4 linked regions of the Tamandua tetradactyla genome follow. The protein of the gene in region 1 interacts with the protein of each later gene in a biochemical or structural test. Links are inferred from orthologs where the notes say so. Each region holds a gene or a part of one and is shown in the gene's direction. Other genes may lie near its edges. The genes, in order: SORT1, LRPAP1, SORCS1 and NGF.

Region 1 (7,990 bases):
CAACAACTCTTATGTGTCAGGTAGGATTTTTCTCCATTTTAAAGATGGGGAAACTGAGGCACAGAGTGACCAAGTAACCCAAGGTCACACACAAGTTCAGCTTGAAAGTGGTTAAAATATATCTCTACAGAAATTTTTAATAGGAAAAAAGTACTGACCCCATAAACTTTGCTGTATTGTGTGTGTGTGAGAGAGAGAGAGAACTTTGTGAAGTAACTTCAAGAAGTGAGAATGACACTAGGCATTTGCTTAACTCTTGTGTGGTAGTTAATCTCAAAATAGAAAATCGGTCAATAAGAATTTTATTTTGGAATCAGAGCTATTTTAGGGACCTATGGCCTGGAAAGGAGATCCCTGGGACAGCAGATCCCTTAGCTCTTAATGAACAGTTGCATCACCAACACAGCTTCTCCAGGCCATGCTAGGGTGATCAGCAGGGTAATTGAGCCCAGCTCATTAACCCTTCCCTATTTTCTTTCCAGCTAGCTACAGTGCAGCCTGGCCAGAATTTCCACATGTTCACAAAGGAAGAACTTGAAGAGGTTATCAAGGACATTTAAGAAAGTGTGATCCTCAGAACTTCTGGAACAATTTCAGTTCTCCCAGTTGCCCTCAAGTTTTATTTCCAGCTCCTGTTTCTAAGAAAATCTCCAGTGTATGAGCATTTTTTTATGATGTCTGTACATAAAGGCAATTCTGAAAATAAAGAGAATTTAAAAATATTTGTTAATAGACTGTCTTACATTGCAGTCTTTTGTTTGAAATACTTATGTTAGGGGGAAGAAAGGGTAGTGGTATTAATTTTCCTATCCTACGAGAATGTCTATTCTAAAATTCTTTTAATGACTGTCGAGAATCCTTTGGCATTGGCAAGTGAACTCAGACTAGTCCAGCTCCCCCCAGTGGTTTATAGATGTTAATGCCACTGTAAACGCGTTTCAATCCTGTAGTAGTTTCTCTTGAGTAAATATGTATTTTCGCTCTTTCCTTTTGTGGAAAAGATGCTACTAATTGACTGTTGAGAGGATTCGTTTTGTGGTCCTCTCCAAAACACTGATGGGTTATAGTAAGTCGTCTACACTGTTGTACCAGGCCTTGTGTCTTGATAGACATTGGTGTTATGTCTAGAGAAAGGGCACAGATTTTTTTTTTACACTAGTAGAAGTAGATTCTCTCAGTCTATGGAAAATTAAAGTTATAGGAGAGCTAATTTCATAATATGGTAAAGCTAATTTACACACACACACGGACACACAACTGTGTGCAATTGTATGTGTGTATATCTGGAAAAGAGAACATGCAGGATCTTTCCAAATGCTCATAGAGCAGTCACAACAATTGTACATCAGAACTCCTCTAATTTGGAATTAAGAATGATAGGAACATAATTAAGATAAAGGGTACAATTTGAAAAGAGATTTTCCTTTTATGAAGTTAAGGACTATAAAAGAAAGAAATTCATGATCTTGGTCTCATTGGCAATCCACTACAAATCTCAGAAGTAATTCACATTAGACTTAGGGATGGGTTATATAATTATCCCCATTACAGCTTCCATCATATGATTGGTTGAGATTATTTAAAGACTCAATCTATTTGAGCCTTAAAAATGACCATACAATAAAATAAAAATAAAAAGAAATATAAAACAAAACCAAAAAAATGACCATATGAAGTAGGTATCATTATCCCTACCTTAAGATTCAGAATCTGAGGCCCTGTGCCATAGACACAGAAAATTTGCTGCTGAGATTTGAACTGGTTTCCTATCGCCAGCTCTTCTTGATTTTATAATGCCAGGCCCCTTGAAACCAAATATTTTCTGAGTATTAGGGAGAAATATGGAAATTTGAAATGTACTTCTAATATCCATAATGTGGTAGTCCACCGGTGGATAAGGCAGAACTGGTTGGTGGTAATTCACTAGTGAGAACCCCAGAATTACTTGCTGGGATCTATGTATTGGGTTCATTAACATTTGTAAGAAACTACTCTATGATGTGAAATACATTCTGATTATTTGAGTAGGCTGAATTCTTATTAAATTCATACTGTAGTTTCAGCAAAAAATAATTTGTGGTTATGTACATTTGGAAGCTGCAATGACAGGAAACAAATTTAGAAGAATTTTGCCCTAGACGCACTCATAAGGAAAGGAAACTATTATATATTGTCACCAATGTTCTGGGGACTATTCTAATGATTTTAATCTACTATCTTAGTGAATATAACATGTTCATATATATATATATATATAATATCATGTTCTTAGTTTCTTTGATGTTCACTATTTTATTAAACCCTAGTGGAAAATAGCATGAAAAACTAATTATCAAATGTATTGGGTACCAACTGTATGTCAGGTACTCTTAAGCATTGGGCATAGAGCTGTGATATGGTTTGTGTTTTCATGAAGCTCAGACAATCAGTATTCCCTTTTAGCTTAGTTTAGGTCAAAGTAGAAATGGACCAAGCACACTGCTTAAGGGAGAGGTGAGAGAGGTGTGTGTCTGAATCACATGAATTATGTAGGGAAGAAAAATACCAAGAAGTAGCTCTTAGCCCAGAGCTTCAGCTTATACTACATTTTCCTCCCACTGCCTGGGAAGTTTATTTGTATCTGAGAGTACAACTAGTAAAACAGTAAATATACCCTCTAAATTATAATGCATATTCTTCAAAGAGTTAGACCTTTGATTTTCTGTAGAAAATCAAATACAAAAAATTAAACATTTCTACAAGGTTTCTTCTTGTGTCCATTTAAATAGAAGGAATGATCTTACTAGGAAAAGCAATGGTTTTGTGATGTGTAATCGCTTTCTATTCATCTTTCTCCTAGAGAATTTATCTTAGAGAAAAGTTTAGTTTCAATAAGATAAATACACATATTTTGGTCCTACAAGTAAGATAAGATCTTATGTGCAGTGTTTCATAAGGGAGAATTGATAGTGAAAAGTTTTTGTATTTAGTGCCTGCTATTAAACAAAATTGAAATACTATATTCATTTGCTCATTTTTTTCAGTTCCTAAACCTAACCCGTTCCCCAGCAGTTGATAATTTGAGGAAGGAAATATATATATATATATATGTATATACTATAAGCATATAATAGCTATTAAAAATGGAAGGTACTAGATAATTGCAACACCTTAATATTCAATTTAGAGTTAAATCTGCATAGGATAATTCCTTTAAAATAATCTTTTATTAAGTGTATTTGGTAATTTCTCCAAGAGATGGCACTGTCGAGTTGGCTCTTTTCAGACAGTAAGACAATAGACCATTCATCTTTGTGTCACCTAAACAAAGAAATATTCCTTTTAATCCCTCTTCTCCCACTAATCACATGCTACTAGAACTGACTGTCTTGTGATCTACTCCATAATTGGCATAGATTAAAAAATAATCTGTATTTTAAAAAATAGTTCCGGAAAGGAGAATATTGTTCACTAGATTTCATGGCGCTTTATCTTGTCCGTTCAGTAGCTAAGAACTTAGAGGACTATTCTAGTGATTTTACCATCCTCAGGTGGCACTCAAAAATATTTTTCAGGCGGGCCACGGCGGCTCAGCAGGGAGAGTTCTCGCCTGCCATGCCAGAGACCCGGGTTGGTTTCCCGGTGCCTGCCCATGAGAAAAAAAAAAAAGAGTGAAAAAACTACCCACAGAATGGGAGAAAAAAAAAAAATATATATATATATATACACATATATACATACATATAAGATATATATATTTTTTTTCACTTCGAACCTGACCAGAAGGATTTTGATGTAAAAATTGGGTTAGGTGCACCACACCATTTCGCTCTACAATGAATATACTCTCATTTGTGTTTACTGCCAGTTTATAGTTAAAAGATAATTTTCAGTTACTTTCTTTATTTGGATGTAACATTTTGCATATTTTTTGTATCTTTCTCTTTGCTACCTTTTATATTGAACATCTATCATTCTGAAGGGATGGAGTCAGATTAAAGATCCAGAACTAGTTTTATTTGTGCTGCACGTTCTAAAAGTTGTTTGCAGTTTCTACAGTAAAGGGTGCAGCGTGGGGGGGTTGTTTTATTTATTGGGGGCGGATGCTAATTTAGGGGACATCATAAACAGAAAGCCAAATTTGTGCATTGCATTCACTGCACGGTTAAGGCATATGGTAAAGATAAATATGCATCTATGAAATGACCAAATACAAGGTAAGCATTTCCCCCTTTTTCCTGCCCCTAATGTCTAAGCTACTTTCTCACTCCAGGAAAATCAGTAATTATGCCTTTGGCCTACCTCCCTGTAGAAGAGGAAGGCGAATGAGGCCATATGTAGTGGAAAGACTTTCTTCACTTTTGCATGAGTCACGGATGTCCTGATGTCTATCTGCCTCTGGAGGATTTGGCCCACACAGTTCGCGTTCACCTTGGCAGCAAGGCTGCTGCTTCAGCAGACAATGGGCGCCCCAGTGCGCGGGGGTTAAAAACCTGAAGCACCAGTTTACGACGAAGCCCCCTGTTGCAGCTGAGCGAGCTCAGGAATTCCCTGAGATTTTCCAGGCGCTGCCGCAACCGAAGGAATTTTAAGGGAATTAAATTCCCTTAAAATTCCCTGTCTCTAGGGAAAGGGAGGGGACTAACCCAGCCTTAACTTGAGGGTAACAGAAAAAATACCAAGGAGAGCGGGGGGCTTCGCGGGAAGGTGGGGAACGCTCCCTAAGCGAACTCTGGAAGCCCGGCCCCAGAGACGCCGGGCGAGGGCGCGGGGGAGGGGCGGGGGGAGGGATGACCTCAGCCGTCTCTGCCACGTTCCAGCCAATCAGTCCTGCATCCTGGCATCCGAATCCAGGACCCCCTAAGCCAGCGGCGACGCGGGCCAATAAGGAGTGGACCGGGGAAGAAGGACAGGCGATCAGCCTACGGGGGCGGAGAGGCCCGGCTGCGCGTATCCAAGGAGCGCCAGGCTCGGGCTCGGGGGTGTGGCGCGGCGCCGGCGGGGGTGGGCGGGCGCGCCGGGCGGCAGGTGTCGGCGGCGTCGGCATTCGGCGGCGATGGAGCAGCCCCGGGGAGCTGCGGACAGCCCCTTGCGCTGGCCCCACGGCCTCAGCCTCCTCTTCCTCCTCCTCCAACTGTTGTCGCCCGCGACCCTCGGCCAGGACCGGCTGGACGCGCCGCCGCCGCCTGCTGCGCCGCTGCCGCGCTGGTCCGGCCCCGTCGGGGTGAGCTGGGGGCTGCGCGCGGCCGCGGCCGGGGGCCCGTTTCCCCGCGGCGGCCGTTGGCGCCGCAGCGTGCTAGGCGAGGACGAGGACTGCGGCCGGGTCCGGGACTTCGTGGCCAGGCTGGCCAACAACACGCACCAGGTGAGTGGGCGCCGCCCGGACTGCGAGGTGCCGCCCCCGGGGCCCCTCGCGGCCGCCTCTACGGCGGGGACCCCCATTCTTTTCCTCGCGCGCTTCGCGTCTCGGAGGAGAAGGAGACCCCGGGCTGCTCGCGGGCCTGGCCCCGCCCGTGCACCCCGCCCGCGGCCCCGAAACTGCGGCGTTGGAGTTGGGCTCGGGCGGCCCCCGGACCCGCTGCCGGCACGCCTGTGTTTCGTCACAGGACAGGCAATCTTAGACTTTTCACGGCATTCTTTTTTTTTTAAGTTGTCAAAATCTCTTGAGCGTCATTGTTTTCCGTCTGTAAACAATCAGGATCCAAAACGCTAATGTCTACCAGGAAGCTGGAGAAAGCAGATACCTCTGAAGTGCTTGGAGAAGTTGGGCTCGGAAGTAAAGGTGTGCCCTCTCTGGATCACTGCTTTCAGGGGGACAGAAACCCGAAGAGCAGTTGCTGGACGACACTTTTTGTACGTGTGTGTGTGTTTTAATAGTTAGAGAAAGGTGCAGGTTCGGAAATGAGATGACAGTACATATGTGATCTTCTTCAAACCTGGCTTTCTGTCGTGGACATCCCACTCAGGCCAAAATGTCCATATCCAGCCTTCTCAGTATTTCCAACAGTAAGATAGACGTCGCAGAGATTCTGCTTTGAGTCAGTTCCTAGTCAGAAGTTTCAAAATCGTGGCAGTTTCTCTGGCCGTGGGGACAAGTAGCTCAACCTTTGTACACTACTGGATTGACAAGGCCGGTTGTTAGGGATGTCCTGGCTCCTTGCTTCAGTCCAACTTGGGCGTCTTCCTCATGTTTTTCTCAAGTTAACGATTTAGTTGTTGCCACCCACATGTGCATAATGTACCCACATGTGCATAATGTACTTTCATTTTAATGTATTTTCTCCCTCATAGTCTTGCCTGTTTTCTCCACTTTATTTATCATGATTGTCCTTTTTCCTCTTTCAAAGAGAATTGCTGTGTTGTCCTTGTGTTGCTTTGTCCACATTGCACATCAGCCGAGCCTCAGTTTACCCTTGAACTGTCTTTCTCCCTCTTCCTGGGCCATACTTGTTATCCGTGACATAGTTCTCACATCGGGGACCCAGGGCACTCTTGGGTCAAGGCACAGACATTCTGAAATAATTCAACTTTATGCAGCCCAAGCAGTTGGAAGAAGGTAGCCAAGTTAGCACTGAAGGGTGGGTGGGTCCGTTTTGTGCATGTTGATTACTGATGGGGTGGAAGATTTACTGAGAAGTCTTCCTCTTTGATGAGGAAAAAAAAAATTGTGTAGATTTCTTTCTCACAGCTGGGGGTTGAGAAAGACTTTACAACACTGATGCTTAAATTATCCCAAGACAACTTCCGTTTTTGTGACAGCTAGATTTTGCATTCTCACTTCACATTTCAGGTTCTTCCCTTGCTGGATGGATCACCTTTAGGTCTGGTGCTATTCCTGGATTTATTCCTTTAGTCACAGTCTTCTGTGGTTGGTTTGAATTGATATGTCATTTCTAATACATTGATTCTTAAAGTAAAAAGTTGAGAAAACTGATTCAGGGGGCTCTTAGGCCAAATCTACTCCAGAGCAGATCTGAAACCATTCATTTATTGAAGACTATGTAAAGAGACTCCCTCTAATTTTTTCATTTTATTTAGCTAGTTTCCAATGATTTTTTCTAGTTTCTATTTTTTTTTTCATTCTTTTTTCAGTGACCTAATTAAAAATAGCTATTTTTGTATTGGTTAAGCATGTATGGTCTCTTCTTCAGGAATCCCATTTTTTGTTGTTGTTGTTAGTTGATATCTGATCAAAAGTAGAGCCATTGTTAGTAGGCTTCACCTTAAAAATGGTTAGGTAAAGTAGCTGTTAAAGATTCTGTTTCCTGAACCAAGAATTGTTATCTAATTGTCTGCTTTGCTTTTTCATTCTCTATTTTTGTAAGTCATAATAAGTCTTACAGACTGTATATAGAGCTCTTGTATTTTGGGATCCTTTTATAAAAAGTGTGAAAGAAAAGTATCAGCATGGCAGACCAACTTTTTATCAGAAATATTGTACACTTTTGTACAGCTGGGGAAGGGACGTGTCATTTTCTCTATAAGGCAACAGAATTCAATTCTGAAGAAAAATCAAAGATTCTTGATTTTCTTATTTTTTGTAAATTGATGCTGTTCATTTCAAGTCATATTAATTTTATATAAACAATATATGTGAATGCTCACGAAACACCCAGATTTCTGCTAGATACTGGGGGTGCTGTAGATGTCCTCCCCTACTCCCAGAGATATTTCAGACTGGAGAATGAAAATCTCCAGCACATTTTAGCAAATCTCCTAGACCTGTTGTTGTGACTTATTTTGCTTGTGAGAATATATTGGCATTTAATTAATCTTCTTAAAATAAAATAATACTAAAGCATGATAGTGCTTTTGGTCTTTTTGTTTTAGGAAACCTGTGCCCTACTAACTCAGGGTTCTACACTCATGAAATCCAACAGTTTGTTCTCTAGCCTCCTTATTTCTCTCTGGGAGGTTTTCTTTCATATCGTTCCCCACCCCCCCACCCCCCCACCCCCAATCTCTTGATTTTAAATTTCACATGTACTGGATTTAATTATTGTGGACAGTA
Region 2 (7,127 bases), on another chromosome or scaffold:
TAGAGAGCGACGGGGAGCAACTAAGCAACCCAGAAAGGTGCTCAGCAGTGATGTGACTTTGGGCAATTTGTCTCTCAGCCTCCGTTTACCAGCCTGTCAGTGGAAACTGTACACCGAGATGAACCTTCTGGGCCCTTACCACTCCGATATATCCTGGCTTTGTCAAGTTCATGCCTCATGATGCCAGGATCTGGAAGGCCATGGGCTTTGAGGTCAGCAGTCTGCCAGAGCCCCAGGTAGTCTAAGACAAAGGTGGGCCAGCTGTCCACAGGTCTCATTTTCCCTTCCCCCTGGGTAGACAGCTGGACGGCATTTCCCAGCCTCCCTTGCAGGTAGGGGTGACCACATACCTGGTCTGAGGCTGTGGAAGCAAGCAGAGGTGGTGGAGCCGCCCCAGGCCTGGCCCACCCACCACTTCCCCCAAGAGATCCCCAGAGCACCAGCCCCCTGCCAGAGGACACAACCTGGGAAACTCTGGGCTGAAGATGGCACAGGCAATCAGGAACTCTTGACTTTCACGGCTTTTTATTCCAATTTTATGTAGGTTTATACATATTTCTTTTAATTTATTAGAGAAGTTATAGGTTTGCAGAAAAAATCATGCAGAAATAAAATTTCCATATACCCCTCCAATATTTTTTTTTGCTTTGTATTTTATTATCAATAATGATGCTTCTACTTATTAATATTTATGAATTTTCTTCTCCCAGTTGATTTTCAGAACATTGCCTCTCCCACACATCACATAAAATCCTGATCCTGTAAGATGACTTTTCTGAATAATGTTTTATTTTTTTATTAATTTAAAATTTTTTTAAATATAACAACACAAACATTCTTAACTTTTGATCATTCCATTCTACATATATAATCAGTAATTCACAATATCATTACATAGTTGTATATTCATCATCATGATCATTTCTTAGAACATATGCATCAATTCAGAAAAAGAAATAAAAAAAACAGAAAAAAATCATACCATACCCCTTACCCCTTCATTTCATTGATCACCAGCATTTCAATCTAAATTTATTTTAACATTTGTTCCCCCTATTATTTTTTATTCCATGTGGTTTATTTGTCTGTTGACAAGGTAGATAAAAGGAGCATCAGACACAAGGTCTTCACAATCACACAGTCACATTGTGAAAGCTACATCATTATACAATCATCTTCAAGAAACATGGCTACTGGAACACAGCTCTACATTTTCAGGCAGTTTCTCCAGCCACTCTAATACACCTTAAACTAAAAGGTGATATCTATTTAATGCATTAAAAAACCTCCAGGATAACCTCTTGACTCTGTTTGGAATCTCTCAGCCACTGACACTTTATTTTGTTTCATTTCTCTCTTTGCCTTTTCAGTTGGAGAAGGTTTTCTCAATCCCTTGATGCTGAGTCTCAGCTCATTCTAGGATTTCTGCCCCACGTTGCCATGAAGGTCCATACCCCTGGGAGTCATGTCCCACGTAGACTGGGGTAGGGCAGCAAGTTTGCTTGTTGTGTTGGCTGAGAGAGAGAAAGAGGCCATATCTGAGCAACAAAAGATGTTCTCTTGGGGGTGACTCTTAGACATAATTTTAAGTAGGCTTAGTCTATCCTTTGTATCCCCCCATTATTGACATCTTGCATTAGTGTGGTGTATTTGTTACAACCGATGAAAGAACATTACTACAATTGTACTATTAACTATAGACCATGGTTTACATTAGGGTTCTCTGTGCTGCTCAGTCCTACGGTTGTTGCTTTGCAAATTTTTATTCTAGCAACAAATCTACAACCTAAAATTCCCCTCTTTAACTATATTCAAATTATACTCACACTATTATGCTACCATCACCACTATCCGTTACCAGCATTTTTCCATTGTCCCAAATAGAAACTGTGCTGTTTGAATACTAACTCCTCATTCCCTACCCGACTCCAGTCCCTGGTAACCTGTATTCTAGTTTTGACTCAAGGAAATTGTTTGCTTTATTTATTTCATGTAAGAGAGATCATACTGTATTTGTCCTTTTGTGTATGGTTTATTTCATTCAATATGAGGTCTTCATGGTTCTCACATGTATCAGGTATATAGTTTAACACAAAAAAAATTCTGGTAACATGTACTTTCAAGTGTACAATCAATGGTGTTAATTACATTCAACAATGTGCTACCATCACCACCATCCATTACCAAAATGGTCCATCACTCCTAACAGAAACTCTGTATCCATTAAACATTAGCTCTCCGCTCCCCACCTCCACCCTGTAATTTTCTCTGTCTCTATGAGTTTACACATTATTGTTATTTTCATGTAAGTGAAATCATACAATTTTTGTCCCTTTGCATCTGGCCTATTTCACTCAACATGTCTCCATGATTTTCAGATTTAAACAGGAGTAACAATAAACTTCTATCCTGTTGGGCCATTTATACATTTTTTGTATACATTTTTGCTTGTCTGTCACAGCAGTTCACAGCGCCTAACTAATATGCAGGTTGAGTGCATTAAATATTAAAAGCCAGGCAACTGGGTAGTTGAGGAACAAAGACTGAATTTACCCTCTATGGTGGTTTGGAGCTATGGATCCCCCCAAAAAACGTGTTCTTAGATTTAATCCATTCCTGTGGGTGTGCACCCACTGTAACAAAGACCTTTTGATGAGCTGATTTCAGTTAAGGTGGGGCCATTCAATCAGAATGGGTCTTAATCCTATTACTGGAGTCCTTTGTAAGCAGAACGAAATTCAGACACACAGAGAGAAAGCCACAAAGGGAGTGGCCAGAGCAAAAAGGTCACTGAACCCAGAAGAGAAAGGAGAGGCCTGGAGATGCCACCATGTGCATTGTCCTGTGGTAGAGGAGCCCAGGGCCGCCAGCGGCCAGCCCAGCACACCGGGAAGCAAGCATCCTCTTCATTTACACTTTTCCTAGCCTCAAAACAGTGAGCCATTAAACTACCGCTGTTCAGGCCAACCATCTCATGATGCATCAACACTGAGGAATCTAAATCACCGTTCCACTTAAAGCAACTAAAAAACTAGACAAAACATATGAAACAATGGCTCTCAAGATACTGGATATCAGGCAGTGAGAGACACAGTATTGTTCCTTGATTCCAGGCCCCTTAAACCTTTTCTGGAACAACTTGAAAGTAAATAAATATGAATTCCCATCAGGATGCCCAGGCCATTTCCACCCTCTCTGCCCTTATCTTCCCTCCACTTGGAACGCCCTCCCCTCCAGGCTCAACCCCACCCCTCAGCCCCCTCCGAGGCCTTTTTCCATCATCCTTGCCAGACAGGCTCTTGTCCCTTACCAAGCCCCACTTTGTCGGTGTCTTTACTCCATCCTATAGCTCAAGCTACTTGGGCAGCAGTCTGTGTCCACTCCTTCCCCTTGTTTCCCACCCTCTCTCCACCGGGCACTGCTAAGCATCCTGGCCACGGCCAGTTTCGCTCAGCGGGTTTCCCGACTGGGGTGAGGAGAACTGAGACAGGTACATAGATATCTCTAACACGGAAAAATGCAAACGAGTTGTGTGTGAGATGGGGCAGCGTTGGGGCGCGCGGGCGCTCTCTGCACGGTGGGGAAAGCCTCAACTTGGACCCGTCTGCCGCTCAGCCCTTCCCTGGGCCTCCGTTTTCCTTCCTCTATAACGGGAAGGGTAGGAGCAAGCGCTTCTCAGTTTCCTGACAGCGCCGCCGGGTACGCCTCCGAGCGTCAGGTAGGGTGGCGTCCCCAATTCCGGGACCAAGACCAATGACTATCTAAGGCTTCGGCCAGACATAGTCCTGCTTCTGAACGTTTCCCTCCTTCCAGGGAACAGGGGGGAAAGAGGCCTTCGGACATTCCGCCGGGCTGTGGGTGCTGAGATTTCCCGAACCGACCCCGGAATGATCCCCGGCATCCAGGAGTCCGCGGCGCGTCGGGCTCTGCCCTGGGCATCCGCACCCTGCTCCGGAGGCGGTGGCGCGGTTGCCGGGGAAACGTCCACGTGTCTCCGCAGGGCTTCCTGGGTCGTGTAGTCCGCCGGCGGCCTCGCCTGGGCCGGCAGCGCCGGGACAGACTACAACTCCCAGAAGGCGGTGCGGCGGGCCGGGGCGGGGCGTCCGGGCGTCCGCAGAGCGCCGGGTCTCCGGGTCAGCGCCGCAGACAAAGATGGCGTCGCGGAAGGTCGGGTCGGTTCCGCGCGGGCTGCTGCTGCTGCTGCTGCTGCTGCTCCTTGTCGGGCCCGCGCCGGCGGCCGGACACGGCGGCAAGTACTCGCGGGAGAAGAACGAGCCGGGGCTGCCCCCGAAGCGCGAACCCGGTGACGAGTTCCGGATGGAGAAGCTGAACCAGTTGTGGGAGAAAGCCAAGCGGGTGAGCGGGTCGCGGCGCGGCCTGGGGGCCCGGGAAAGCTGAAGGCGCGCCCTCCTGTCCACGGCGGGAGGCCGCGGCTCGGGTCCGCTCCTCGCGCTGCGAGTCTGGCCTTCGCCAGGGCCCGGGGGCCGAGGGGTCGGGGTGGGGGCGCCCGCAGGACCGTCTGCTCCGGATAGTGCCGTTTACAAACCCTTGTCCTTGGCAAAGGCTCACCCTCGTGTCGGGTGGGCGCGGTCACGTTCCCGTTTGCAGCAGGAAAGGGAGACCCCGTCGTGGGCCGTACCTCCCTTTGGCAGCTGCCCGCACGCCTCCAGGCTCTGGGGTCGACCCCATTCTCCACATCTGGAGACAGATCCAGCAAGGTTAGGTGATGACCCCCACCCAGCCCCGGCCGTGCACACATGCCTTCCTTGCTTTTTTCTTTAAATGTTCTTTATTGTGAAATGTAACATACATACAAAAAAATTTTTTTTCGTAATACATTTTGACAAGCAATTGAAGAACAGATTTCAATCAGATTCATGCAATTAAAGAACAGATTTGGTATGTGTTACCATTCCACATTTTCAGATTTTACCTTGTAACTGCTTCAGAACACTAGAAGCTAAAAGAAATATCATTATAGTAATTCAACAGTCATACTCGTTTGTTAATCCTTTCTTCTCCGTTATAGCTCGTCCTCCATTGAGCCTACTCCCAGTCTATAGGGGTCTTTAGGCCTTACCTATTCTAACTTTTTCGTGTTGCAAAGGAGGGGGGTGGTCAGCAATATAGGATAGAGGGATGGAATTAGTGATGTTCTTGGAGAGGCTGGACCCCGGGGGGTTCTGGCTTAGGAACCCTCTGGAGATTGTAGGTTTCAGGGAAGTAAGGTTAATACGTGAAGCTTCTGTCGAGTCTCATTTAGAGCCCTAGGTGTTCTTTAGGGTTAACTGGAATGATGTTGTTTAGGGTTTGGCAAACCATGGCAATTAGCAATATCTAGCTGAAGCTTGCATAAGTCTCCAGAACAGCTTCTAGAGTCCATTTGAACATTCTTAGCCACTCATAACCTTGTTCTATTACATTTCTTTTCCCCATTTTAATCCTGAAGGTATTGTTGAGCATTCGGTGCCAGGGACCTCCCCTACTTGTGCTGACCTGAACTGACTGGACCTGGGGGCAGAAGTGGAACTGGATCACATGTCCCATGGCTTCTAGTTCTTTGCCTTTTTTCTTATGTTATATCTCCCTATATGGAGAAGCAGGCAAAATAGATGATTTGGGGCATAAAGGCAAATCCTGGGGCCCCAAAAGCAAGTGAACTCTGGTTAATTTGGGTAAGGAGCAGAAGGTATGGGGAAGTAAAGAGATGGGTGGCTTTAGAATGCCAGATTGAAGGAATGCTAAAACTTTAGGAGGCTTAGCAGATGGTTGAATCTCATCCTCTTCCTTTTAGAAATGGAGATAACAAAGCCCAGAAGGGAAAGGGCATCTGCCAAGGTCATTCAAACCAGTAGGAGCAGAGTCCAGGCTGCTGCCCCGCCTCAGTGCCCCAGCACCAGCCACACTTCACATTGACATGGTGGTTGGTTACTGCAGTTGGCAGGCAGAGGGCTGTGTTCCGTGAAGTGGGTCTTTACACACTACACGCTGGCCTACCAGGCTCAGAATCTTCATCTCTGAAACCAAGAGGGTCAGAGGAGATCATCTGTTGAGTCTCTCACGTTTAACATTCCTTGAATCTTTGAGAAGGAGAGTCAACACTTTGAGAAAGAGGATTAAGTCTGTGAAGGAAAAAGAGAAACTTTGGCAGGAAAGAAAGAGGTGGGAAAGGGCAAAAGCTAGGGGAGAGCCAGGTGGGTGGAGGAAACTGCGAGGGCACAAGGAAACCAGACTCAGTAGGCCCTTTGGGAGCGTTTCCCTGGGCCCAGTGTTCTTTCCAGGGTTCTGCTGGAGGGAGGCCCGGCAGCCGAGCCCCCTTGTGTGTGGTCAGCTTGTGGTGGTAGGAGAGAGATCTGGACTGGAGTGCCAGGGAGGCTCCCTGGAGGAAGGGAGCAGGCCTGTTCTTGCTTGTTGTGTCCCCAGTCGGCCCCGTGATGGTGCACCTTGCATCTGTTGAGAGACAAGGTCAGGGGCCCCTCACCCTACCTGGAAGAAACTGGCTGCATTGGGGTTTCTGTGGGGAAATGGACCCTGGTGCTCAGGGTCATGCATGGCTTCCCTCTGCTCGTGGAATCTGGTCCCAAGCCCTCACCTGCCCTGCAGGACCCTCTGTCACACCCCCTTATCCGCCCAGCTGCTGCTTGGCCTGTTGCTTTCCTGCAGGCCTCTGCTCCTTGGACAAGATATTTCCAGTCCCCCTAGAATTCGAGTCATATGTGGAAGTCTCTCGTGTAGAAAATTTGAAGGTTCTCCAGGTCGAGGGTTCTGTGTTGCAGCATTTCCTATGTCCTCGTGCTCTGTGGGCAGACTCTAGTCCATGCTACCTTGCCCTGGTTTTCCTTCTCAGCAGTGGTGCTAAAGCCTGTGCCCCAGGTGCTGTGTCACCTCAGGTGAGCTGGTGCACAGGCCGGACAGTCACTGTCGTCGTCCTTACTGCCAGCGGAGCTCCCCGTTGTCAGGAGAGACCTTGGTGCTTCACTTGGTGGTGTTGGCGAGCTGGGTCCTGGGCAGAGTGGCCGCCATCCCAGCGTGGGCAGGGGGCAGGGTTGTGATCAGTGAGGATACGCAGAGAACCATCTGCTTCTCACCCAGGGCTCCGTGACCACTGTGGGTGGATGTGAAGGAGA
Region 3 (7,597 bases), on another chromosome or scaffold:
CTTGATCTGAAATGCAAGACACCTTGTCTCAATGGTATCCAAGGGGAGCCAAGTATTTAGAGCGCTATTAAAAGACAGTGTCTTTATGATGAGGCATATAATGTGATTTAGTACAAACCGAAGCCAAGGTATCCATCAGAGAAGAAAAGACCTAGAAAAGGAGGAAGAAGGAGATCCAGTGTGATAGTTAAAAATAGCCAGGGCAGTAAGATTATGACTGGCAAGTATAACAGTCTCTCAATATTTTTCCACCCCCACCCCACACAAAAAAAGAGAGAACAAATCAAATAGAAATGGAGAATAAATATTTCCCCTCAGCCTAAACTAATTTGTTCACTTTTTCCAGAATTGCTTCGTCAACACTAAAAAATGAGTCAAAGTGCTAACTGGGGTGTCTGGCACACAGTAAACTGTCAATAAATGTTATCTGCTGTGGGTTGGATTTGGAGCAGAAACACAGCTGCATAAAGTCAAGAGCATATGAGGAATCAGATGTCTGGGCTCAAGTCTTGTGTCTTATACTATATTGTTGTGTGACCCTAGATAGTTGCTTTGCCTCATGTAAATAATAATACTTAGCTGAGATAAACTTTGTAAAAACAATCAAACAAATAAACAAGCGAATGAATGGGTTCCATGTAAAATTCGTAGCATAATTCCTGATTGACAAAACATTAGTTACTAAGAGTTGTGTAGGTAGAGTTGCTAGACATGTGTCACTCAGCTAGCCATGATGTATTGAACACTTAACAATAAGCCAGCTACTGAGGGAGGTGTTGGGAAACTAACAGGTGAACGAGGAAGATAGGTCTATTCACAGGTACCTTTGTGGGGAGTATTAAAAAATATAAAGCTGACACTCACAAACAGGGTCAGATAAAATAATTGAAAGCTGTATTGTATGTTGTGAATGTATTAACAAGAGTCTGATAGAGAAAATGTGAAAGGAATTTTTCCTTTAGGTAGGGGTTGGGGAAAGTCTGTAAGGAAGTGTGTTTAAAGTGCAGGACTCAAAGAAGAAGAGGTGACCGTGTGAAGTGGGTAAGCATTCCAGGGAGGTGGAACAGCATGGCAAAGGTCATGAGCTGGAAAAAAATATTGGCACTTTGGAGTGATTGCAGCACATGTGTGAGGAGGGAGGGTGTGGCCAGAAGGGACTGAAGAACGGGTGGTAGAGCCCATCCAGCTCATGTAGGCCTCCCAGGCATGGTAGGAGTTTGGATTTTACTCTGTTTGCTATGGTAAGGCATCAAAGCATTTGAAGCAATGGTGAGCAATGACCACTATTGCTACTTTGTAGGGCAAGGTGCCCAAACCTTTTTGATCTTTTGGGGCACGTGGCTCCAAAATGCTCATTGTCTCTCTCTCCATATATATATGGCTGTATATATATGTATGCATATTATGTATTACACACAATTATAGTTATAAAATATATAACTATATAGTTATAATTAATATAGTTATATATTTTAATCACTAAGTAAAAATTAGCAAGGTTAATTGCTAATATTTTAATACAGTAACCATTTGAATCAGTAAGTCAAAATTAGCAAGGTTAACTTTTAATCTTTTTGCATTAAAATTAAATATATAAAATATTCTTATTTTCTTCCTGCACAAACAGACATCATCTTGTGGTGCCATTGGGGTACTCATATCTCACTTTGAAGATGACTGTTGTATAGAAAAGAGGGAGTAGAGCAAATGAGGTGTTGGAAGTGCAATAAGGAGGCTGTTACTCTGGTCTAGGTGAGACCTGATGGCAGTTTGGACTAGGTTGGTGGCAACGGAGATGGTGAGGAATTGCAGCATTTAAGACGTATTTTCATGACACAGTGAAAAGACTCCTTTCCCCAGTGAAAGGAATTACAGATATGTGCTTATTCTTCTCGTGTCAAATTAATATCCGTTGGGTTCCTTAGTGGATTGTTGGATTGAAAATACCTCAGGTTTCTTCACGATGAGCCTATTTTTTGATGTCTTCTGGAAAGGGGAATAATTTCAGGAATTGTTAGTACTTCCCCTTCCTCTTGCTGACAAAGGTCAGTGGGGAATTTATTTAAAAAACAAAACTTGAAGCTAATGCCATCAACATCTATTTAACTTTTTTTCTGAAATGGATAGCTAAAACTGGGCATTAATAAATGCATGGCCTCTATAAATTCCCAGAAAATGGACTGCAAATGTCTCCACTTTAATGAAACTGTTAGAACAGGCATTTTTGGAAAGGGGGAGTCGTTAACTCTGGAGGGAGAAAAATATCAGCTATAACGCCTTAATTTTCTTCAGCAAGAGTTTCATTTTGAAACAAGAACCATCTAAATTTCTGCTAGGACAATACTGGACTAAGGCCCCAAATACTCAAATCTATTAATTTCTTCATTTCCATTTTGCTTTCTCCAGTCCTGTCTTTGGATAGGGCTGTATTTGGGTTCTAATGATTTGATCTGGTTTTCGTCTCTTGGAGGAATTCCCACACACTTCTTCAGACTGGAAAGGAAGCTAGCAGGGCATGAAAAGAAGGTGTCAAGCAAAAGATCCTGCAAAGCTCTGGAAACTTTTTTGAGAAGAGGAAAATGGCTGCCATAGGCTTTGACAAAGAGCATTTACAATTTTGGGGACAGGGAGGAGTGTAGCTCTCTTCTCATCCCAGTCTAGAGCCTGTCCGACAGGGTTCCCTTCTTAGGAGGATGCAGGATGAGCAGAAGTCTCCTTTAGTGACAAGATGGACGTTCCTTTGTCCTGTTAGGTACTCAAAGTCTGCCCTCCTTACATATGCACTTTTCTTGGCCTATTCATAAGAATAATAATTGAGATTAATCTTTTTATAACACCACTGAGTTGAATTGACATAAGAGTAATGTCTCTTGGACAGCATCAGAAAGAGTTCCATTAATCAAGGAAATTATTACTCAGTTACTTCAAGTTGGTCCCATCCCAACTAAGAGGCCAGATTTTTTTCAGTGAGGTCACCATGCAAGTGTGAAAATTAATAGAAATGTAATTAGAAACTGTAATTAGTACTATATTATTGTGGTATTCATTTATTCAACCAGTAAATATTCGTTGAATAATTACAATGTGCACATGAGTGTTATTAGGTGTGTGAGAACCACAAAGGAATGTGAGGATGTTTCAGTCCTTCGAATTATACGATTTGAAAATTTTGAGAAATTCTTTGTTTAACTTTCAAGCCCATTCTCCTGCTATAAATCTTCATCTGAACTTTTGAACAGTAGCAGGGGAGCTGGGCTGGGCAGATGTTATAATCATACAATTACAGAATTTTAGGAGTGAAAAGAATTTTAAAGGTCATCTAATCCAACCACTTAATTTTAAAGTTTAGGAGGCGGAGAGTTTGTGACCTGTCCGAGGTCCCACGGCAACTTCGTGGCCCAGCATTCAGCGCAGGCATTAAGTTTGCTAACGGGGATCTCCAGGCCTGTGGGGATCTGAGCTAAGCTCAAATGACACAAAATAAATATAGCACTGTGTCTCCTTCCCTGCATTTATTCTACATGCAAATATATTCTAGAGTTTCAATAAATATTTATTGAATTAATGACTGACAGATTTCTGTAGGGCACTGTACCAAAACGCTGGGGATAAAATGGCAACCAAATATAATCACTTCTAAATTGCTCACAATTCGGTCTTCCTCTCCTTAGAGTTTGTAGTCGCTCGGAGAAGCCGAAATATACGCCCACAAAACCTTCGGATTAGGAAAGTGCTTTCTAAAATATAACTAAATACAGGTAGATTGGGCTCAAACTGATGGGGGGGGGGGAAATAACCTAAAACACACACACACACACACACACACACACACACACACACACCCTCCGGGATTTCCCCCGGGCTGGGCACACCGGCTGTGCTCGGGGTAATGTCAAGATGCCAACTCACCGAGACTAAGAGAAGGAAAGAGCAGGAGCCAAGCCTTGCCGGTCTCCTAACTGGAAAAGACCAGAAAGAAAGTGGGAGGGGGCGTGGGAGGAGTGAATAACAGAGACAGAGAAAAGCAATACAGAAGGACTGGGAAACCCCCACACTGTGGCCGCTCTGGGGGCCCGGGGTTGGCCGTCCCACGGGAGGAGCGCGCGGGCTCGTGGCGGGGACTGGCGGGCGCGGGAGCAGCGAGCAGGCAGCGGCAGCGGCGGCGGCGGCGGCGGCGGCGGCGAGGCCGAGGGGAGGGGCGGCGGCGGCGGCGCATCCAGTCCCCGCAGCCCCCGGCGCGCGGCGCAGCTCGGCAGCGGGACGCGGCGCCCGGAGCCCCGGCAGCGCCCTCCCTCCCTTCCTTTCCGCGTCGTCGGCCAGCGCGCCCGCGCCCCTTCGCCCGTGACTTCGGTTCGGCTCCACCCCCGCGTGGCGGCGGCTCCGGCGTCCGAACCCGCGCTCTGCACAAGCCCGGCCCGGGCGAGCGGCCGCCACCTGCCCGGCGCCGCCTCCGTCCGCCCGCCCGCCCGCGCGCGTAGCGGCCCAACTTGGATGGAGTTGAGGTCCTGAGCGGCGGCCCCCCGCAGCTGGCCAGAGGAGAGCCCCGCGGCGCCCCCGCGGGTCCGGGACCCCTCTCCGCTTCTCTCCGCTCCCGCGATGGGAAAAGTTGGCGCTGGCGGCGGCTCCCCGGCCGGGCTCCGCGCGCTCCTCGCCGGTGCGGGGTTCTTGATCCTCTGCGCCCCGGGCGCCTGCGGCGGGGGCTCCTGTCGCCCCCCGCCGCCCCCCGGCTCGGCCCCGCGCTGGGCTCCGACCCCCGAGGGGTCCCCTCACCGGGGTCCGGAAGGCAGTGCCCCTGCCACGCCCCTGCCCTTCCTGGGGCGCCCCTTGTTTGCAGTGGCCCCCGGGGACAGAGCACTGGCCCTGGAGCGGGCCCAAGGCACCGGGACGTCCGTGGCGGGTACCGCGCGCTCCGGCCGGAGGAGACGGAGCGGGGAGATTCGGGAGATGGAGGAAAGGGGAGAGGGCGCGAGTCGGAGTCCCCGGGGAGTGCTGAAGGACCGAGGGCAGCAGGAGCTTGGGACTCAGGAGCGGGACCCGGACAAAGCCACCCGCTTCCGGATGGAGGAGCTGAAACTGACCAGCACGACGTTTGCGCTGACAGGCGACTCGGCGCACAACCAAGCCATGGTCCACTGGTCTGGCCACAACAGCAGCGTGAGTGGAATGGGACTGCGGGCCAAGGGGTGATGCGTGGAAGGGGTTAAAGTGGGCTAGTGTGTGAACTGATGGTGAATGGGGGGGGGGGGGATTGGGACTTCTGGACTTGGGAAATGCTACAAACCAAAGTCTTTCCTGCCCACCTTCCCTAGGAATTAATATTACCTACTGCCCCCTCTGCCCCCCTCTTCCAGCAACGCCGTCGTAGTTCTCTCCAAACCCCGAAGAAAGCTTTGAACTAAGCAGGGTTTGGTATGTTTCTTTGATCGCTTTGGTGTGTGGAGCCCAAGACCAAGCATACAGAGAGGGCTGGAGAATGAATGTGGAGGTGAATGGGTTAAATTTCCAGGCGTCTGACATTCCCTCAAGTGACTTTACCTTTACTGGGTAGATTACTGATGGGCTCAAGTAAGATGAAGAAAACATTTATTTGTAGCCTTCTACTTTTTAAATGAATGATTATTATTATTTTTTATGTGCTCAACTCCTAACCCCTTCTTCGTAGGGGAGAAGAACTGCAGTCAACAATATGTGCCTTTAGTGCCCTGTTTCTGAGGACAGAGTGAATTTAAGTTGCAGGGCAGGAACTCTCCAGCATCTTCTAACAGCCTCAGCAAGTGTGTTTTGAGAGCCGGGGCTGTCCAGCCTGTGAATGAGCAGTTGTTCTCAGGCATGAGCATCCCAGGAAGAGCAGCTATAGCCCAGTGACAACAGCCCCCTGTTTTCCCCCATTGCCTGACCTCCTCTAGGGAGAAGCACAAATAAAAACCTGCCTTCCCTTTGTGGAGGGAAGAAAGGGATTGCTGGATTGGAAGGAGGCTGACACGGGTGGGCGGTGGGGTGGGGGGAGGGGTCAGGGTGGTCCTGTCAGGGAGCTTTTGGATGTTTGGATTTTTTATTTGGAGGTAGTATTCCTGTTTAAATGGAACCTACAAACTTCAGTGAGCTGAAACAGTAAAGAACCAGCTTTTATAGTAAAATAGCTGGAGATGATTTAAAAAGTGTGGAAAGTTCTCTGGGCTGCTATTAAGCAAGACAGGAAGAACAGAAAAGGATGGGTAACATGAAAGAAAAAAGAAAGAATAAATAAAAGTTGGGACTTGCAGATTGTATTGTTTGTAATGTGCACAGCCTGGTACTTTTCACAGTGTTTTCAGTTGTGAGATAATTGCCAGAAACGTTCCTAGAGAAGTGCCACTTAGTGAGTTGTGCTCATTGTCAGCTTTAATGAAACTGGTGAATATTTTAAAATAATAGTCTGTTATTATTGAGTCCTTGGATACATCGGCATAAATTGTATTAAGGCAAATCGTGATGAAAGTATTTTCTGTTGATGATTCTATCCTCAGAGCATTGGCAGGGTTTTACCTACAATTCAGCCTTCATGTCAGAGCCTGTGGTTTTATGTGGTTCTCAGGAGTGGTTTAATTAAAGAATTGAAGCAGAATTTGTTTTTTTCCATTCAAGTTTTGGAGACCTTTGCCCCCATCCTCTACCTTAACTATCATATCTTCCATAAAACCATCACCAAAATTAATCATCCAATTTGAACTTGAATCTTCTTTAACTGATGGAATAACTTTCGTACTGCTTTAAGTGATTAACTCAAAGCTTCTGGCTTTAAGGGAAGATTTTAAACACATCAAACATGTAAGATCATTCATAAAGAAGCAAAGGACTTTGGGCTCAAAATATTTCTGGCTTTTAATGTAATTCAAGCTGTAAAATATCACTCACCCATTAGACCTCTACTTTAGTTCATCTCTTGAAAGATCTTGGAAAGAGTGAGAAAAGGAAAGTACATCTTTGGGAAATTTGAAACTCCATTTAAGAAATGGCATGATGCATGCCAGGTTATTTTTTTAATGGTGCTCACAAGCCCAGTGGGGCTTATTGGGGTCAAGATTTCTATGAGTACCATGCAGGATGGTCTGAAACAATGTAGAAAATAACCAAGGTGGTGAGTGTTAAAGTTTTGAGCAGCCATATGCTCATGCTAACTAGTGAGATTCTTACCCCTGAAGTCTCTTTTTTCTATGAGCACATACCCACCTCTGCCTCGGTGAAAACACAATTTCTTTTTTTCCCAGTATATGCAAACAGATTGTGGAGGAACAGACATTGTCTTTATCCTGGTCTCCCAAATCACAGCTGGCCCTACTTACTGATCCAGCCTTACAAGAGAGACAAAGCTTAAAATATTTTTTAAATGGAGGGAGGCAGAAAGAAACTTTTCTGGCAACTTTGAGAAATGAAAAGCTGCGTGGAGACCTGAGTTCTAGTTCTCTCGATGTGTTGTGTGACCCTGGCAAGTTGATTACACTCTCTGAGTGTGAGTTTCCTCACCTCTAAAGCGGTGGCAGTGTCTGTCAGATTAATCATAGAGAATTACACGGCATGGTACCTATGAGGGAGCACTGTGAACGTCAAGTTCTCTACA
Region 4 (7,619 bases), about 7.7 Mb from region 1:
GAACATTGAAGACTTGCCCTAGTGAGAGGACAAGGAAATGTCTCTTTGAAGACAGAGCCAATGAAGATCTGATCTGGGCTGTAGTCGTGGTCACTGTGGGGAGTTGGAGGCCCTCTGAGAAGTTGGAGGCTCGCAGCCATTCGGGTCAGGAGAGCAATGGATAGAGTCCAATCCCCAGATGGCTGACTTGACTCTTCATTGTTTGTTTCTTTAGCTGTCTCACCCTCCTACCCAAATCAAGCTCACCAAAACCACGATTTTCCTTTTATAGGCCTGGCATATACTGTACATTCAGTAAATACTTATTAAAAGAGGGAAACAAATTACCAGAAGGTAACTTCCATGCCAGAGATTGTTCTATTTACTTGCCGAATCTCCTGCACCTAAAACAGGACCAGCACCCAGCAGTTGCTCTATAAATATTTCTGTTTATAGTTATGATGACTCAAAAAGAATAGGTCTTTCTCCCAAGGTCACACTCAGCCTCTGAGGATAGACAGGATAACTGGGCTAAATTCTCCCTGTTTCAAGCTGGTATCTTTCCTAGGCTGCAGTGCCCCTGCTGGAGAAGAGCTGAACTGTCCTCAACCCAAGCAGTTTCGCTGACCTCGGTTTCCTTAATGGGATCAGTGGGGCTACTGCTCAAGAAAGGGGCCAAGGATTTTGGATGGAGGGAGCTGAGAGTCAGAGGTGAGATAGAAACACAGATCTTGCCTAGTGCTTGTCCAGGTAGCCTGAAACAAGAACCTAGGTAGCACATAATGCACATAATGGATGCTCAAAAATGTCAGTGACTTGAGTGTGGATGAGAGATCAGGGCTGAGGCCATGGGCTGGAATCATGCAATTAGGAGGGGGTTCCTGGAACAGGGTACAGGCTTGGGAGGCACATGAGTTCACAGGGCAGAAGGAGAAATCAGAGAGGTAGACGGTAAGTACAGTTAGACGTCTTCAGAGGAAAGTGTTTGATAGAAGGTCATCAGCAGAGCCCAAGGCTGCAGAGAACTCAGCAAGGAGGTAGGTGACTGGCAATGTCAACTAAATTTGGGTAAACTAAGCAGGAGACCTGGTGTTTAACAGCAAGAGCTTCCGCCTCATAGGCCTGGGTTCAAATCTCTACTATGCCATTTGACCAGCCACAAGACCTGGATAAGTGACTCACCTCTTCAAGCTTCATCTTCCTTCCTACTGACAGAGCCTTTAAAATGTCTTGCCCAGTGCCTGCAATGAGGGAAGCACTCAATAAACGCTGCTGTTATTATATTGGTGGTGGTGGTGTTACTGCAACTGTGACCTTTAAGAAGACAATGTCAGTTAAGGCAGGGAGAAGGGAAGGGGAGGGGGGAGAAGATGGAAACCAGATTGCAGGAAGTTTAAGGGGAGCCAAAGAAACGGTGGGTGTAGATCACTTTCCTGAGGAATTTGGTGGTGAAAGGAAGTTGAGAAATCCAGTGGTTGGGCCAGCACTTTCTTAAAGAGAGAAAAGCCAAATGAATGTTTGCAAGTAAAAGGGAAGGAACCTGCAAAGATGGAGAAACAAGCTATCAGAGAGAGAGAGACAGGCAAATGCTGGGAGCAGATCCCAGGAGTAGACAGGGATGGGCCTCAGAGGTGAAGAGACCCAGGTTCTGGTACTTGGCTGAGTCCTTGTCTCGTCGTCCATAAATGAGGTAGCTGGATTTGGTCATCTCTGTGATCCTGTAACCATGTCATCGCGCTAAACATTATGAAATATTTCCTCTTCTGAAGTTTTTTTCTTCACTCTGATTAGAAGGCAGGGGAGTGGTGGTGGTGATGGTGGAGGGGGGACTTTGAAATGAGCTACCACTTCCTCCAGCAATTGGGAAGATATTTCTGTGTTTCACACATAGAGCAAGCAGATCCAAAGATTTCATCCTTGCTGGCAAATCACTGCTGAGCCTCTTGGTGTTTTAAATAGCATGTGCACTTTGTCCTGGCCTTCTGCAACAAAGCAATAGGCAAGAGCTTTATGCTGGGCTGAGGCTGCTGTTGACGAGGCACTCAATGGCTTCAGTCTTCTGAATCCTCAGAAATAACAACAATTACTGTATACGCCACAATCTGAGCTCCAAGTCAGCAAATCCATCAGCTGCTGGTTATTTTGATACCCTGGATAAAAGCTCTTTCGAGAAAATCTAGTACAGAAAAACGTTCTTTTCCTCTACTTGTCTGTACCATTCCTTCTGGTCGTTGCCCTCTCAGTTCTCTCTTTTTTTTTTTATTCCTATAAATGCAGCTAGCCCAGGCCTTAAAGTCCTTGTCACGATGACCCAAGAGAAGGGCATTTCATATGGGCTTTTCATGAAAGCTGAAAAGGCCAGAGAAGAGACACCTGGCTATAATCTCTGTGCCAAGGCCAGCCTGATCTGGAACCTGCTGAAAACAGATCCAGTGTTGTCTGACAGCCACAAATGACTCCGACTATTCCCAGATAAATGCTTCGACAAACATTTATTGAACACCTACTATGTGCTAGGCCTTGTGCTAACATCTGGGGAGACTGTGATAAATGTGGCCAAGGTCTAATAATCAAGCACCTCCCCCCATACCCTATATCTGTCTCATAGCACAGATCTGGCACATAGTAGGCCCCCAATAATCTTTGGAGTTATTGTTTGTTCTTTACGTGTCCTTATTTACTCAAGACCTTAAAGTTCAGGGACTGAAACAATGCTACTCAGGATGGAAAGGAGCTCTTACTAAACCAATGTGTGCCATAAGAATATGAGCAACAATTTGGGGGCTGGGACACTGAGACTTAGATTCTGCTCACATCATTTTGAATTTCCCTCTTACACACCACATGAAAAAGAACCACAAGTGCCCCAAATTCTTTTGTCCTTCTGGGTGATGCCACAAAGACACATGCAAAAAGCTCTGTATTCAACCCCAAATTCTTTGTTATTCTAAAATTTTCAACTTCATCTCTAAATTCTTGGACAGCTATTATGTAAAGCTTAAGGCGGATGCTTTCAAACAAGTTTATACTTGATATGATTGATGAACAAATTTGTTCTATTGCCTGGAAATTTCTTTGTTTAATTGACCATGATAAATTTTCTAATGGAGCAATCTGATTGTGATGCTACTTCTGCAGACAGGGCCATTTACGGTGTTCCCTGGCCTCTTGCCCTTGCCTCCAAAGTATGTTGATCCACTAGCCAGTATTTGAACAAATCACAAGTGGACAAGCTTTTGCGGGGAAATAAGGGGGGTCACACCCAAACTAAAGCTGACTCTTAATTCTAGGGCTTTCTTCCTTTTCATCCTTCTCAGAGCATGCCTAATATGCATGGACTTAAAAGTGAAAACAGAAGTACAGATCTCGAATCTGTATGTATTAAGGGGGTTGGAAGCACCCAGGCAGGTCCCCACCTCACTCAAATGCTGTCCACTGCAAGTTAAGGACCACCCTCGAATTCATAACAGGAGCCCCTGTGCCTGGCTAAGTTCCCACGCCCTGAGGGTGGTCTTCAGCTGAATTGTGGTGTCATGGCTTTCTAGAACAGTTACTACTAATCATGCACGTTTGGTGAAAACTTGACTTTAGGGGTCTTTCTCCATCACTAGCTTTAACTTGGATGTTGAGAACAGGTGGGGCAGAAAGACAGGCATCAGCCACGGAAACTCCCCTGGTAGGATGTGAATTCAGGGAACTCAGAAATAGTAAAGGGCAGGCCGGGAGATACCATCTCATTTAGGATCCTGCAAGTGGGGTAACAGAGGTTTCCGCTAGGGCATGCGGTGGGGCAGAAGACTCTATCTAGGCCAGTTTGGGGCCGCACATCTTGCAAAACTGATGAAAGCTGGGGGCCCTTTTCCCAGTAAAATGTACAGACCTCACATGAACATAGAGATTTGCCTACAGATTTCAGAGGGGTCAGGGTCCTCCCTGAAGCCCACAGAATCCAGGGCTGTCAATCAAGGTCTAGGGCCTAGGTCCTGACTCTGAAGCTCTTTGCCTCTTATTCCTTCCCTACTGGCTGGGGCTGGGTCTTCTAGCTGGTTCCTGCTCTCGGAGCTGCCGTCCTCCCTCAGGGCAGAGGAACCCAGGCACCTGCACCTGCAGCTCCCCTGGCTGCTCGCCTGTCCAGGGTGACCAGAGGTGTCACGGATGAAGAGTGCTCGGACTACTTAGGGTGCAGCCCATTCCTGGGGCGAGGGCAGCAAGAGCAGATCCCGGAGACGCTGGAGGCAGGCAACGCGCCGTAGTGGGGGGAGGGCAGGGAGGTGAGGTGAGCACCGGGCAACCTCGCCCAGTCCCAGTCTGTCGGCCCATTCGCGTCCCGGGCCTGCACCCCTACCTTGTGTCGCACAAAAACGCTGTCCCTGCCTGGCGCACCAGGCTCCTCTGACCCCCGTCCCGAGCGTTTCCCTTTGACCTTTGTTGGTTTGGACCCTTCGCTCTCTGGGTCCCGCCGGCCCTGCTGGGGGCGATCGATCTCCAGCCCCCAAGACCCCTGCCGCGGGGTGCCTCTGCCCAGCCAGAGCAGGTGCGGGGCTGGGGGGTGGGGGGTGGGGAGGGAGGGGGCCAGGATTTGGAGCGGGTGTGACTCAGGACCCAGGGAGGAGGGGCTAAGAATTGAAAGAGCAGCTCGGCGCTCCGACACAGCAGAGAGCGCTGGGAGCCTGAGGGGAGCACAGCGGTGAGTCAAGCTGCCCCGAGCCGAGCCGGGAGAGGGGCGCAGCGCGGGCTCGGGGTGCGGTTTGGGGTGGCTGGGCGATTCGGGAGGGTATGCATGGCTCCTGGTCGGGTGAGATCTCCGGGTACCTCCGAGGCTGTCCCGGGTGAGGTGCAGACCCGGAGGAGTGTCCCGAGTGGGTGCGGGGGCGCGGGACCCTCGGCGGGCGGGTCCGGGGAACAGCGTGCTCTCTGGTCCGCAGAGGTCCCAGTCCCCGCTTGGCCCGAAATCCGGAAGGCACCCCTGGAGCGTGCAGAAGCCACTGGGCCGTGCCAGGGACAGGTTCGAGGGCTAGAAGGGGACAGCGCGCAAGTGAGGGAGAGTGAATACGTGTGGAAGGGAGAGGATGCGCGCGGGCTGCAAGCGCGCCGGGGCGGGAGGAGTGGTGGTCTGCTCCTCGGAGAGAGAGTGCGGAGCGCGCGCGGGTCGGGGTGCGCGCCAAGTCTGGAAAGTGCCACGCTGCTTCCAGGTGAGGGGGCGAGCGGGACCCAGCGCGTCAGCTCTGCTGCCGGGAATGGAGCAGAGGTCCTAGGGCTCCTCCGCGCGTCGCAGGCCGACTAGGGTCCCGAGCGAGGGCGCGGGGTGTTGACACAGAACTCCATGAGTGGGGTCCGGCGCGCTAGAGATCTCCGCAGACCTGCGCTGGTGTTGCCCAGGTTAAGGTCGGCAAGGCTCTGCCGTCCCACTTAGGTCATACGCCTCACTCCCGGCTGTCTGCTGCCAGGTGTGTGAAGAAGCTGGCATGGAGCGGTGGGGCGGCGTCTTGGGTCTGGGCCGCGAGGATCCAGAAGAGGGAAAGAAAGGACTCAGGGGTCAGGGAGCTGCATCTCTGAGCCAATGTAAACAAGCTGCTTAGCTCCGTTTGATTACGACTTTCCTTCTTTAACAAAATCTCTGCAATTCTTATGGAAGGTGTTTTCTACTCGAACTTTCTCTTCTCTTGTGACTTGAGGGATTAAAAAAGAGCTTGCTTGCTAGGCTGGTTTTTCCAAGTTGTTCCAGGTTGGAAGTTGTAACAGTTTGAAGGATGATTTATGGGTGTTTCATGCATTAAAGTGTATTACAGCAAAGCCTTTTGGGTGCTGTGGGTATTAAGGAAAACTGAGTGCACGTTCCCAGCTGGAAACCAAAATAGTGCCCTCCTCGGTGTCCCTGCCCCATTTGTCATCTGAGGCCAATGAAAATCCTAGAGAAAAGGCACTTGATTAATTGTCCTGGCTCCATCCTCTGGGCACACCCACTACCAGCCTGGCCGCCTCCTCCCCCAGTGCATGCATCGCCAGCTGCATTCTGCAAATTCAGAAATGTTAGTGGAGAGCCCACCAGTGACTTCTCTTCCAGATCTGATCAGCTATTCTTCAAAGTCTTGAAGCTGTCAGTCAGGACTGCTGGCTGGAGGGGAATATTTTCTCCTTCTCAAGGCAGTGCAAGCACTGCAGCAACAGTTGGCCTCCACCGGTTCTTCTCGCCCAGTGTTCACAGTTTCCTTCTGAGTGTCTGAAATGTTGTCTCTCTGAAGAGTTAAGGAAGCAAGGCTGCATTAGACATCTGATGGGTCTCTTCTGTTGAATAAATTATATGCCAACCTGGCAACCCGAATGTCGAACAGAGATGGGCAGTGTTCCCAGAGACTCAGAGGAGAATAGTAGACTGGGGCGTGGGAGTGGTCTGGAGGCTGAGACTGACCCTGTCCACACCAACTCGCAGAAGAAATGAGTGTCCCTCAGCCCTCAAGGGTGGCTGCAGGGGGATGGGATTAATTTTGCACTGTACCAGATCCCTCCCCCTCACTTCACCCAACATTTTTATGCAGGTGGAAAAATGGCAGCCTTGAAGGGAAAAATAGTGTTAGGAGACACCACAAATCAGAAACTAAGGTCTGGGACAGGCAGTGGGGCATGGGAACATATGTTTTGATAAAACTGTAAAAATACCTCTGGTGATTTTATAACCAGCTACTGGCACCACTGCCTTCCCTGGGCAAGCTGTCTTATTCCTAAAGCAGCCCAGCCTGCCAGAGGATTGGAGAACTGAGCCCACACTCCTGCCAGTGTCGATGACCCTTTCCCTACCCTTAGCCCTTAGTGAGGTTCCCACTTTCCCTACTGCCTGCCGACAGCTACCCTGCCTCCAGGGCCAGCAGGACCAGGGGCTGAAGCTGTGGGCTTCCATTCTCTCCCATCAAGAAATCTCTGCCTTCGCCAGGAAGGGGCCCCAGCTGCCGACATCAGCAGGGAGAGTAGGGCAGGGCAGGGCAGGGCTGGAGCCTGAGGGAAGTTTCTCATCATTACTGAGATTAAACTGATGAGAAAACCACACAAATTTGCTTTCCAATGCGTGGTGAGCACTGCGGCACGTTTATGGAATGCCCTATTGCAGCAACAACTGTCCTGGATCCTCAGAGAAACTACAAGGGAAGTACAAGAGATGCAAGTCCCAGATCTCCAAGCAGACGTGGGTGCCAAAACAGGAACCAAGGCCCAGCCATTTACCCTTTCCTGGCAAGAACGTACAAGGATTTTGGAGTCCAGAGCAGGCCACGGTGATCCTTGCTGGCAGCTAATATTCTTGCTGCTCTCAGGAGGCAGTGGAAGGTTTACTGAAGGCTTGCATAAAATCTCTGGATATCTCTGAGCAAACACCCTCTGTTCCCAGAGGGTTTCTTTTCCTTTGACTAGAACCTCTGATCTTGCAAACCATCAACTAGCCTATCAGCTTTCAGGCTGAGTTGGTCCTGAGGAATTAGTTCTTTGGTGGTCCAGTTTCACAGAACAGCATGTGGGGGCATCAAGCAAATAAAGAGGAATGCGAGGCCCTTCCTAAACCCATTTCCAGGGACCTCTCTTCGTGACAGTGGGAAAACAGTTAAGATCCTAACTCCAAATAGTGGTGAGACCAAGAGATCCTGAGGCAAGCA

What was found.
Region 2: the proteins of SORT1 (region 1) and LRPAP1 form a complex in vitro, tested with the Homo sapiens proteins (4 studies listed by BioGRID and IntAct, with this or other methods). The link is inferred for Tamandua tetradactyla from reciprocal best matches to the Homo sapiens genes SORT1 and LRPAP1.
Region 3: the proteins of SORT1 (region 1) and SORCS1 form a complex in vitro, tested with the Homo sapiens proteins (2 studies listed by BioGRID and IntAct, with this or other methods). The link is inferred for Tamandua tetradactyla from reciprocal best matches to the Homo sapiens genes SORT1 and SORCS1.
Region 4: the proteins of SORT1 (region 1) and NGF form a complex in vitro, tested with the Homo sapiens proteins (3 studies listed by BioGRID and IntAct, with this or other methods). The link is inferred for Tamandua tetradactyla from reciprocal best matches to the Homo sapiens genes SORT1 and NGF.

Annotation. Positions count from the first base shown.
Region 1 is NC_135337.1:13,515,870-13,523,859, forward strand, and holds the start of SORT1 (sortilin), read left to right. Parts: upstream 1-4,985; 5' UTR 4,986-5,035; coding exon 5,036-5,344; intron 5,345-5,632; exon of another isoform or gene 5,633-5,691; coding exon of another isoform or gene 5,692-5,832; intron 5,833-7,990. Other genes in the region: PSMA5 (proteasome subunit alpha type-5), read left to right, coding at 483-560.
Region 2 is NC_135345.1:3,642,517-3,649,643, reverse strand, and holds the start of LRPAP1 (alpha-2-macroglobulin receptor-associated protein), read left to right. Parts: upstream 1-4,126; 5' UTR 4,127-4,152; coding exon 4,153-4,356; intron 4,357-7,127. UniProt on the Homo sapiens protein: Molecular chaperone for LDL receptor-related proteins that may regulate their ligand binding activity along the secretory pathway.
Region 3 is NC_135339.1:69,268,434-69,276,030, reverse strand, and holds the start of SORCS1 (VPS10 domain-containing receptor SorCS1), read left to right. Parts: upstream 1-4,596; coding exon 4,597-5,154; intron 5,155-7,597.
Region 4 is NC_135337.1:5,863,499-5,871,117, forward strand, and holds the start of NGF (beta-nerve growth factor), read left to right. Parts: upstream 1-4,615; 5' UTR 4,616-4,666; intron 4,667-7,619. UniProt on the Homo sapiens protein: Nerve growth factor is important for the development and maintenance of the sympathetic and sensory nervous systems.